Linked DNA regions of Danio rerio. The protein of the gene in region 1 interacts with the protein of each later gene in a pairwise test. Links are inferred from orthologs where the notes say so. Each region holds a gene or a part of one and is shown on either strand. Other genes may lie near its edges. The genes, in order: dazap2, stam2 and rabgef1.

Region 1 (3,657 bases):
TTTACACAAGATGCCATATCAGACGCTCAGGACTCACTCATAGACATTTACTCAAAGGATAATTTAAAACATACTATGGAAATGCTTTATTTTTAATTTTATCAGTCAATGATTTTTATCCTTATTTTTATCTCCACCAACATGTAATTACTGTCAAGCTGCTCTCACCATAAAACACATCATATTAGATTGTGAATGTTTAAGGACAAGATTTTATAAAGAAAACACTTTGAAAGATGTTCAATAAAAAGTTTCATCATGATGAAGTTATTTATAAAATCATATTTAACTTTTAATAAACAGTTATTGTGAATTGTATTTATTTATATATTTGTTTGTGTATCAAGTCCTATATGATGTTTTTATGTATATTGACTTTGCCATGAAATTGCCACAAATTGCTGATGTGGCAATAAATAAATAAAATATGTGGCGAGACTTTAAAGGGAATATTTTTAAATGGGAATCCTTCAAAAAATACTAGAATTTTTATCAAAAGTAAATCTCAAAATGATTTTTTTAAATCTAATTTTTTAAAATTATTTTATTATTATTTATTACTGTGATGTCCTTTTTATTGTTTGTGTATTATAGAAAAGTGAAATTTCTAAAATGAAGCTGATATGGCAATGAATTCATAACTTTCTCTCGAGATTTTGAATTTTACTACTAGTCACAGGTGTAAGTTTTGATATCTTGAGGCATTTGACAAAGCATGATGTACAATTTAACATGTCAACAATTTAGAAAATGACATCTTTTACACTTGCAATTAAATCAAAAAAGAAGAGGTTGGATTAAAACATAAACACTTTACATTTAAATACTGCACTATAAAAAAGTAGATACTTTTAACCCTACTGTTGTGTTCCTGGTCAAAATTGACCATTCTGCTTCTAACTGCTCTTAAATGAGCTCACAAAAACAAAACAAAAATCAGTCTAAAATAAGTGTGTGAGTGAGTAAGTGATTGAGATGGGGTGGGTGTTTTCTATCTGATAGATGAATCCAATCTGAAGACCCATTCATTTCATATGGCGGTTACTTTTGACCAGGAACACCACAGGTGTAACAAAATTGATTAAAACACTCAAAATTGAATGAAAATGAAAGAGGGGATCATCACTATATGTTCAAGTACATAGTGTGAAGGATATCATAAAGCCTCGAGGCAATCAGATGTAAAACACAATTTTTATGAGTGTTTTAAATTGTAAATCGGTCAGATTTGACCCGAAAACGACATGAAGGTTTGCCACAAATGAGTGTAAGCTGCTGATATCGTGACTTCAGATAAAATCAATATGAAATATTCCATGTTTTTAGACCTTTAGAGATGTATAGAATTATAGGTGTGCATTTTAACTTATGCATCAAATATGCACTCCAAACCTTTCTTCGTTGAGAGGTGTTGAATTCTTCCGTCATTTGCATTGTTTTGATAGTCAATTTTCTTAACAATTTTTTTTATCTATTATTTTTCTATGAAGCTGCTTCTGGCCTTGACATGTTCACACTAAACGGCTATAAGAGACATGTTTAGGGTTATATGTGCAACATCCTTTATTTATTCTCTTCGGCAGGGGTGTCCACACTCGGTCCTGGAGGGCCGGTGTCCTGGAGAGTATAGCTCCAACCCTAATCAAACACACCTGAACAAGCTAATCAAGCTCTTGCAAGGTATAGTAGAAACTTCCAGGCAGGTGTGTTGAAGCATGTTGGAGCTAAAGTCAGCAGGACACCAGCCCTCCAGGACCGACTTTGGACACCCCTGCTCTTAGGAGAGCTCTCATACTTGTAACATACTTGGAGGTGAAATGCTGTGCTTTATGCATTATAAAGCTTGAAGCATCAGAATCGGTACTCGTTTTTTAAATTTTTTTATTATTACTTAAGGTGTGAAATCATGGAATGTATTATATTGACCTGTTATCAGTTGATTATATCATTATGTAAATATAAGTTGTACAATTATTACTTTTACATACATTACATTAATGTTAGCCATAATAATAGTATGATTTCCCACATTTTGAGTCCTATAAAAAAGTGAAATCGTGATATGCAAGAAGCTTTCAACCTGTAGGGCGTCAACTGATCATTAATTAGTATTCATTTGAAGTGAATGCTAAATTTATTGACTATTTCTGATGAATGTTTGACAAATGTCAGTGTTAAAAATTGAGTGACAAAATAGAACAAATCTGCAATCTCCTACTATAATTTCATAATAGAATTGAAAGAAGGGGCTATGCCAAACGTGTTTACAGATTAGTTTGGTACAAAGTGATGTATTCCACTTTTCTAGCCATTTTAGTCATCATTAAATCAGTAAATTGAAAATTCCTGGTTCAGTGTGTTTCAGTGTTTCTCAACCATGTTCCTGGAGGCTCACCAACACTACGTTTTGGATGTCTCCTTTCTCTGTCACATCTATTACAGGTATTTCAGTCTCTGCTAATGAGCTGATGATCTGATTCAGGTGTGTTTGGTTACATGGAAAATGTGCAGAGATGGTGGTCCTCCAGGAACGTGGTTGAGAAACACTGGCTCTATTTGAAGGTCTTATGAATTTTGCTGGTTTCGGTCTACCTTGAAAATGTCACCTCTCAAAGTCTACCATCCAAAATGGACAATTTTAGAAATCCATGAAAACTGTATTTTGCACAACTGAGACAAATAGATGCAAATGCACTGCTATGACCTTTTCCCCTGGCATGTATGTGACTGAAAATGAATTGTGTATATAAAATGTCCATCTTTTTCTCTCTTTTGAAGCCTCCACCTCCCGGACACCTCCCTAACGCGGCTCAGATGGCAGCCATGCAGGGTGCAAATGTCGTGATGACACAGCGCAAGGGCAACTTTTTCATGGGTGGCTCCAGCGGTGGTTACACCATCTGGTAACAGTGAACACCCCTCTGGGCCTGGACCGAAGCCCTCCTTCCTTCCTCCCCACCCCCTGGTTCCCTTTACCTGTTCTCCCACCCCCCTGCCTCCTTTGGGGCTGCTTGGCTAAGCCACAATACTGATTTAATCTAATGGAATGTAATATTTTAGAGCCCCTTACTCGAGGTACAATGCGCCACTGTTGATATGATTGTGTAATATTGCAATTATATAATGTGTAATGCGTATTCACAATTAAAAAAGCGCATGGTAATTGTAGGTTTGCTCATACGTGTCGTTTAATTATTGGTTATAGAGGGAAGACGACTTTTAAGGTGAAAACCAGGTCATTTTTACCTTTAGCGGAACTGGCATACCTCTTGCAGCTTCATTTTTTTTAACAGTACTACTTTTGTTTTGGTTTTAGAGCCAGAGATCATGCCAAGAAAACTGCCCGGTCAGTTTGATCATCTGTGTAAAGTAGCTATGCACTCAAACCTTTCTCTTTGAATAGTACGCTTATCCATGCTCATTCATATCATTATTACGGTCTTGCCAGATATGTCAAATGCGAATTTAAGCCGTCTAAATCAAAGAGAAAGATGTGTTTACAAACTGAAACAACAACAACAGTGGTGTATTGTACCTTTGGGCAAGCTTATATAAATGTTATCAGGTGCCAAAATTGCACCATTATTTAAAAGCTAAGGAATTTAAATATGAATGAACCTAAATGCAGTACAAGAGAGTGCGAACAAGATCAACAAA
Region 2 (4,305 bases), on another chromosome or scaffold:
CTGGTAATAAAATTAGAATTTAGAAAAACTATTCATATATTGTTTGCGTGTTGATTTTTCAGCTCACCCATTTGGAGCTGTCCCGACACGGTCACAGATATCCATAATGAGGCCCCAGTCCTCCACTGTGTTGGTTTCACTAGTTGCTTTCTCTGAAAATACAAATGAGCATTCAAATGAGACTCTTAACGCAAGGTCATTCTAGAACCATATCAAAAAAACTGATAAGTGTTTGACAAACGTCTAAACCAGCAGGAGGAAATGTCTTCTCATTTACCATAAATGCTGTTAACAAAACACTAAAAAACTAAAACTAATAAAAACCACAATTTTAAAAAGAAAATCTTTTAGTTTTAGTTATCAGTTTTGCATCCCTGAGTTCGAAGGATAGGTTTATTGAAAATAAGATATGCATACCGTTAAGCAGTGACAGCCTGTTTTGCCTGTTATTTTACATTTACAGCTTGTCACAACAGGCACAACAGTTTCTGTCATAATCCACCAGCAGAAATTATTTGCCCCCTCCTTTAAGAACAAAGCAACTGGGCACATTTTTATGACTAATTCTTACTCGTAACAACGACGTCTTGAATTGCAACATCTAGAAAAGTACATATTCATGAATAAATAAATAAAATGAACAATAATAATATGCCTTAATTTCCTCCATAAAGGAACATACAGTTTCACACGTTTATATAAACTGAATTCTAAAAGGACAAAGCTTTGAAAATAAAACCAAAGATCATGCTATTGTGTGCTGTTAGGTTCCACGCCTTTTGACAACTGAGCTCCTATTAATCTTCCACCCATTCATGCTTACAAGAAATAAAAAATATAAATAAATCAAATAAAACATAAAATAAAACGTTTTTTTTTTTAAATCAGAAACTTTTAAAACAGGACATTTTGATCATAAGTATCAGCATAGTAATACATTATTATTTGTTATAATTACATTGTTTTAATTACAGTTATTTGTTATTATTTTATACTAAATTATATGAAACAATATTTTAATATAACATACAGAATAAATACCTGAATCTTAAGCTTACTAGAAATTAAAAATAAATATAAATAAATAAAATAAAACATAAAATAAAAACGTTTTTTAATTAAAAATGAACGTTTTGATCTTAAAATCAGCATGAATTATTATTAAAAATACACAATTATGTTTTATTATATTATTTTTAACTAGATTAATTTATTATTTTACACTAAATAATAATAAATAATATTATCGTAAACATCCAGAATAATAAAATCAAAGCATATAAAGAAAGTATTATTACAACTATTATTATTATTAAATTATTAAATATTAATAAATTATTATTATTAAATTATTATTACTTTTTTATATGACTTATTGGAGCATTAAAGAATTTTCATATTTCGTACTGAAGACCCTGCCACAAAAATATATATTTAAAAAATATTTTTGTCAGTAATCAAGCAATAAAATAAATTTAAAAACAATTTCAATATAATTTGAATCAAGGAGACATCCAAAAACAAAAAAACTTATGGTTTTGGTGTAGTTGTTTAAGGTTCCCTGTTTGGGCTTTTACTAACTTTACTTCATTGCCGTAGACTTCTATCAGTATGTTTTCGAATATCTTAATCTATTTGTTTATTACTATTCTTTTAATTATTTACTTTGAGCTGGCCTAATAGTAATAATAATTATAATATAATATATATATATATATATATATATATATATATATATATATATATATATATATATATATATATATATATACGTGTGTGTGTGTGTGTGTGTGTGTGTGTGTGTATTAAAATAAGCTTCTCCTGCTCACTAAGGCTGCCTTTATTTTTTGCCTTTATTACAGGACAAACTGTACAATTGTAAAATGGTATTGCACTATAAAATAACTGTTCAAAAGTACTTTATAATTTAATTTATTCATTAATTCCAGTGATTTTAAAGATGCTTTTTCAGCTTCATTACTTCAGAGTCACATGAGAAATCTCTCTAATATTAATTATTATGATTATTATTTTTTTATAATTAATGAAAAAAGTAATAAAAGCATTAATGAACGGAGTAATAATTTCATTTGAAACTACATACAATATTAACTAAAAAAATGAAGAATTTAATAAAAACTGACCTCAAACACTTGACCGGTACATATATATATGTGTGTGTGTGTGTGTGTATATATTTATAATTATCATTTGTTTTAGTATGTCTTTGTCGTTTATTCTTCAGTTTTTTATTCTTATTGTCACTATTATTGTTGTTGCCCTTATTACAAATATTAATATTATTCAAAAACCTGTATTCCTATATTTTGATTATTAAATGTATTTTCTTATGCACACTGCTATGCTGTCATCTACGTCATGTTTATTGTGTTGACATAATTCAAAATAAAAGAAATTTTGATGGAAAAAAGAATAATTTCAGCATTTAGTGTTCATCTAAAAAGTTCTTGAAATTCAAAACAACATCCCAAAGACACTGTCAGTTATCTATTTTACATTTGACAGCTTTAATAGTTAGATTTTGATAAATAAGTTATGAATGACCGATAAACAAAACAATAACAGAGCTCTTGAGGATCTTGCAGTGAACGGAGCGCTGCTGGATCGGCCCTTAGTTACTGACTTGTCAAGACCACATCACTTCGACAAAAACAACACTGCCAAACTCACCCACATCCTGATCGAACGGGTTTTGACCAAACAACGGCATTTTGTAACCTTTTCCTATGTGTCAAAGAAAAAAACTGAAGCGTATTATCTACGTAGATCGACGATTTATCCTTCTCTCATCCATTAAATTGCGTTCACTTCCACCAGTTGCTCTTCCGTAAACTTAGTAGACGAGCGCAATGCCTGCCAGAAAATACATCCAGGAAACTGTCAACATATTCTACATTTAAAGCAGCATGTTCACAAATTATATTAATACTCAAAATTTAACCAGTAAATTATTATACTTGTGCATATTTAAAAATATATATGTTTATATTTCAGACAGGCGCATAGGTTGAGTCAGAAGTGCGCTCTGACTTCAAGACTCGCACTGCCATCTAGCGGCTAGTTTAGATGTTTCTAGAACATCATAATTCACTTTAAATAATCTCAATATATTCACATACATTACTGTAATCATATTATTTTAGTTGTATTTGATGTAAATGCTTGCGAAAAAGACGACGCTAGTCTGTAACTGAAAAAACAAAGCATTGTTTACACTCTGTCCTCACCAGAGGGCGCTGGATTCATAAGCAGCTTTTTTACATGTCAGCAAGGCCACACGCCTTTATCCACCGGGACCATTGGATGATCCAGTCTTTCTAATGATAGTTCAGTCATGTCGGCACCTGCCATGGGGACCAGCAAAACAGCGCACAGTGAGTCCGGTCACAAGAAGAAAAAGGGCCCCGGAACACTGGCCACAGCATATCTGGTCATTTACAACGTGATTATGACAGCAGGGTATGGTGGAAATCAAATGCGCTTCCGTGCTTCTCTCTTCAAGCGTGTGTGTGTGTGTGTGTGTGTGTGACAGCAGAAATGAATGGTTGGATTTCTTCAGCCTGTATGACAGAATCGCGGTCACCTCCCCCATTGAGTCTATATTGTATTATTTAACACTGTTTAATTTGAAAGCTGAAACATTTCAACAAAGTTATTCTGCACATGTCTGCTGTGCAATCCAAATGCGGTGTAACGTAAAGCCTATTATCGCTTATTTAACTCGCCGTAGGGTTGGTGATGGGTGACAGCGAGCATTGGTTGTTGTTGCATGAATGCATTGTTCTTGTTTTACAGTCGCTGGTTTGTTTGGGCAGCGTTGTAACAGGGCTTGTAGTGAATTTAGTGTCTTTGTTAGTTTGAATGTAGCCTTGTATAGTTTGTAGACATTAGACTAGGCAGTGAATTAAGCGCACCTTAGACCTAGTAACCCAGAAACTGTTGCACAATAATGTCCGTTTCAGGAACTAATCGATTCGATTCGAGACAGCCGATTCGTTTCTAAATCACTCATCGTTGTTTTTTACATGAGCATATGTAATGTAAAGCTTATTTAGCAAATTCATGGCGAATGTGAAGCATTGGATATACTTTGTGACTATACTTTGCCTTAAATAAAAAAAAAAAAATAATGGATTTCTATTAATAAAATTATCCAAATCATTTGTTAAAATCACTTCTTTTAGTTTTTATTTGACCAGATTCTGTTGCATTATAATGATTTTATACAGCCGATTTATTTCTAAATCACTCATGTTTCTTTGACATGAGCATAATGTAAATATT
Region 3 (4,293 bases), on another chromosome or scaffold:
CATGAGCTCTCTTGTGTTTTGGCAGCAGAATATGTCACAGCCATGCTTCTGATAATCCTAACTGAGCTCAACTTTGTTGCTCAATCCGATGCATATTTGTTCTGTTGTACATTTGATGAAGACAGTTTGTATTGCATTATTGTACTGGCTCTTATTGTGCTGATAATAAACCATATATTTTGCAATCTATTAAAAGCATTTGCCACATATTTTGAACGCTATGAGATTGTAACTTTATAAAAAAAATTTAATGTTTTTGTAATAGTTTTTTTTCTTTCTTTTTTATTATTGGATTCAAAAACAGTCAATAATAGAGTGCAGAAACTTGGAACATTAGAAAAAAATGTTGTTACAATCTGTGTTATACAGATAAGAAAGAAGAAGAAAAAAAAAACTTTTTGACTTTTAAAAGACTTTTTGTTTTTTATGCTCATTAAAAACAAAATATATGACTTATAGTCAATTTAAAAAATAGCCAGAAAATGATTTCCCCCCAAAACTTTACACATAAATTTACAAAAAACTTACCCATTATAATAAAACGATTAACAATGTACTGAATGCAAGATTTAGAGTTGTAATAAAAAAATATTACGCCAAAAGTATTTAAACAAATATCAACATTTGTCTTTATATGGTTCGGTCCAAAATAATTTAACAATTACATTCACAAGAAAAATGCACAATGATTTCTTCCAAGTCACAAAATATACTTTTGTTTTTTTTAAATATCTTATGTACTAATTTTTTTGTCTTTCAAAAACAATTTAGGCCAAACTCAATCCAAACATAATTTTGCACAAACTGACTAAGACATATCAGATATACAGTGAATCAAATATAAAGCCATAAAATTTACACAAAACAAAAAACTTATACAAAATACCTTGCAGACATCACAAAGAAACCATGTAAGGGGTTAAATAAAACCATATTCTTGAAACATATCATACAAATGTCTAGCCTTCTCACCCTTCATTACTTTTTAAAGCTTCTACATGGGTGGCAAACTCCCCTTTAAAGGCAATCAATTGAGGAGCTGTTTTCAAAATTTTGCATTTATGAATGAAGAATTAAGGTAAAATAAGTAAACAAATTGCAGTTAGGTCATCCTCTTTGATGTCCAAATGTACTCCAAATTCCACAATAATTGTTCCAACAAATAGAGGGAAACATTGAAATATATAGTTTTACCCAGTTGTCTGTTTTCAATATCTTGCATATATTTACTCACCAAACTATTACAAGGATAGCATCTATTTGAAATTTTATATGTAATTTATTTTACTTTGTTATTTAGCAAATACTTATGTGGAAGATTCCAAGTAACGTCTCAATTAATGTTATATGTGGACAGCCATTTAAAAGAAGAAGCTGGAATTGTTTTATGGTTACGTTTTCGTGAATGTTGACATTTCGAGATCAGCCCAGCCAGTGTCCCTCCCTCACCAGTCGCCTGGATATGACGTCGTTGTGACCCGGAGAAGAGACCGCTGACGAGGTACACGTCCTCTGTATTAAGATTAAACACTGTATTTTGCCATTCATCTCTTAAATATGTTGTTTTGCCTATTTATAAACGGAAAGTTGCAGAGTTATGCCATATACTGCCAACCAAGAGTTGCGTTTGTTTTTAGCCACGTAGCTGTTTTGCTAGCTTGATGTGTTGACTGCCTGCGGCGGGTTGAATGACATTTTGTTATTTTCGGTAGATAAAATATGCCTTATAAGATTAGTTTCTGCCCGCATGTTAAAATAACCAGACAAATAATTAAGTTACCTCAATTTACTGGATTTAAATGTCAAATAAGACATACAATTCTTAAATCAATATAAGTCAATCCAATATTACGCTGAGTTTAGTGTCATCTAAGTTAACTTTAGCTAATCAAAGTTTGTCCTTAAAGTATTTATTCATTTAAACTATAATAGATGTTTAATTGTTTCATTTTCTTTTTGGTTTGTTCTACGCAATTGGTTGATTGACATCAGATTTATTAATCAAGTTACTAATTTATTTAAGAAATTATTGACTTTAGCTTAATATTAAATAATCAGTAAAACTATTTATTTCCCTCCCATTTACCTCTGAAATATCAATCTTAGTTTTAATATGGTAGTATGAATATCTCATTACTTTCATTTTCATTTGTCATGCTCTTTAAATGACTCATCTCGTTGGCAGCAATGTTGATATCTGTGGTTGCTCTGCAAGTATTGTCTGCAGAGCAAATTGTGTAATGTAACTCCTGTTGACTTGCTTCATGCATGTTTAGTTCACAATGCCAGTGTTCGCAATAGCTTCATTGTACATAACCTTCCAGAATAAACAACTGTGTCAAATTCAGTCGCCAAAGAGATTATAAAGTATAACAGGTTAGACTTTTCAAAAGGGACTCATTGTTAAATACTAGTTAATGCATTAAGTGTCATTATCAGTGAGTAATAGCTACATTTATGAACTAACAATTGGAATCAGAACATTTTCAATCAATCTCAGGCATGTCATAGGCCAGATTAAAGTGAATATATTTGCGTTTGGAAATAATGACCTGTTCAGTCTTCAGCATTTGGGCGCATTGATGAACATCGCAGTAAATACCACAATTTGAATTAGGGTTGCACGATATTGGGAAAACTGACAGTGTTTTGTTTTCCTGTGATATTAAGTTAATTTCACCGAATGAAATGAATAGCTCCATTTGAGAAAAAAAAATTAGATGTTTATCAGGATGACTTTGTAGGGAAGTGTATCTGCATAAAATATAATAAATCAATCACAATAATTGATAAAAACAGTAGAGCAATGATACACATGAAACACAATTGTTGTCTGGGAGACTAGCAGTGTTCAGGTGCAGAAAATGAATAAGCAAATGAAAACGACACTATTGTCTTAATTGTACATAAGCTCAATTCATCTTTCTTAAAGTTAAACACATTTTTTTGTGACTGAATATTTTAATCTCATTTGAAATGGTCATACAGTCTCAGACCTTAAAAAACTATACACTTTTAGGCAACTTTACCTTACAAATAATACAAATGAGAAAAGAAGTATCTTTTGTGTTTTGAGTTTTGCATGCACTAAGCACTTTATTTCCACTTTGTACTAATAAAATAAGATGGGACTGAAAGTATCTAGGCAAGTAATTATTAATATTTGGATATGATACTTCTGATGGACTATATAAACTTTGCAATCACTCCAATAATAACATGTATTCTCAACTGTTACTTGCTTCTGGTCAAATATAACCCTGACTGGACATTACAGATCTTGTGATGTTACTATTGTGGATACATAAATTGGGATATCAGTGCTGAAAAGATACATTGTGCAACCCTAAATTGAATATTCTTTTTTAAATAATTTTTTTATTTATTTATGTATTTATTTTTTTATTGACAGTTAACAAACAAAAGTAACAGAGAAAAAAATATATATATAAATTTATCAGTATAAAATTGATTAAAAGAATAAAAATGAACCACACTATAAGCCTAATATTGTGCAACAAACAGTATATGATGTGCATAAACAATATATGATGTGCATTCATTTAACAAATTAAACATACAAAAGTCAGTACCGAAAGTTGAGATTGGCAGCATGGTGTATTAGGTAAAATTAATAATGATAATAAAAGAAAAAAGAAAAAAAATTAAAAGAGCAAGAGAAAAGGGGATTAAACTGAATATGCTAGGGGGGTGGCACATTCTTTAAACTTGCGGTTTTATGTCTGGAAGAGTTTTATGCTTGTGCTACATCAGGACTAGTACTCATCTGGAAAGTACAGACTAAAAGAGCAAGATTTTCAACCATTCATTCGACAGTACCTGCTTCAAGTTTCAGAGATTTGACATGCTCCATGAATGGCAAATAAATGTTAGAAAACTTGATCACTGGACCTTGACTATATTTATTTTTTTCTAATTTAACAAAAATAAGGCATCTTTAATCTATTGAGTATGGTATGGGGGTTGAGGAGACCTCCACTGCTACAAAACACACCACCTAGCCAATAATGACAGAAAAGCTGCTAATTTAGAAAAATAAACGGGTAACTCACAGTAAGGGAGTAGAACTCCAAACAGGCCATCGGAAAAGGATACATTTGAACAGATGTCATTTCTGAAAATGAATCAAAAACAGACTTCCAAAAAGGAAACAAGGTCCAAAACGTGAACTAGATTTGCAGGTTCAGCCTGACATATGTCACAGTTTGGATCAATAGCTGGGAACATGCAACTCAGTTTACACTTAAACCAGTAAACTCTGTGGACTACTTT

Evidence for each region.
Region 2: the proteins of dazap2 (region 1) and stam2 interact in binary tests that used the Homo sapiens proteins (3 or more experiments, as listed by UniProt). The two-hybrid records come from large-scale screens. The link is inferred for Danio rerio from reciprocal best matches to the Homo sapiens genes DAZAP2 and STAM2.
Region 3: the proteins of dazap2 (region 1) and rabgef1 interact in binary tests that used the Homo sapiens proteins (3 or more experiments, as listed by UniProt). The two-hybrid records come from large-scale screens. The link is inferred for Danio rerio from reciprocal best matches to the Homo sapiens genes DAZAP2 and RABGEF1.

The regions. Positions count from the first base shown.
Region 1 is NC_133198.1:36,683,775-36,687,431, forward strand, and holds part of dazap2 (DAZ-associated protein 2), read left to right. Parts: intron 1-797; exon of another isoform or gene 798-1,601; intron 1,602-1,806; exon of another isoform or gene 1,807-2,376; intron 2,377-2,778; coding exon 2,779-2,907; 3' UTR 2,908-3,657. UniProt on the Homo sapiens protein: In unstressed cells, promotes SIAH1-mediated polyubiquitination and degradation of the serine/threonine-protein kinase HIPK2, probably by acting as a loading factor that potentiates complex formation between HIPK2 and ubiquitin ligase SIAH1.
Region 2 is NC_133184.1:39,754,653-39,758,957, reverse strand, and holds the start of stam2 (signal transducing adapter molecule 2), read right to left. Parts: upstream 2,857-4,305; 5' UTR 2,732-2,856; coding exon 2,692-2,731; intron 153-2,691; coding exon 68-152; intron 1-67. Other genes in the region: hacd2 (very-long-chain (3R)-3-hydroxyacyl-CoA dehydratase 2), read left to right, coding at 3,356-3,480.
Region 3 is NC_133185.1:37,879,352-37,883,644, reverse strand, and holds the start of rabgef1 (rab5 GDP/GTP exchange factor), read left to right. Parts: upstream 1-1,491; 5' UTR 1,492-1,501; intron 1,502-4,293. UniProt on the Homo sapiens protein: Rab effector protein acting as linker between gamma-adaptin, RAB4A or RAB5A. Involved in endocytic membrane fusion and membrane trafficking of recycling endosomes. Stimulates nucleotide exchange on RAB5A. Can act as a ubiquitin ligase.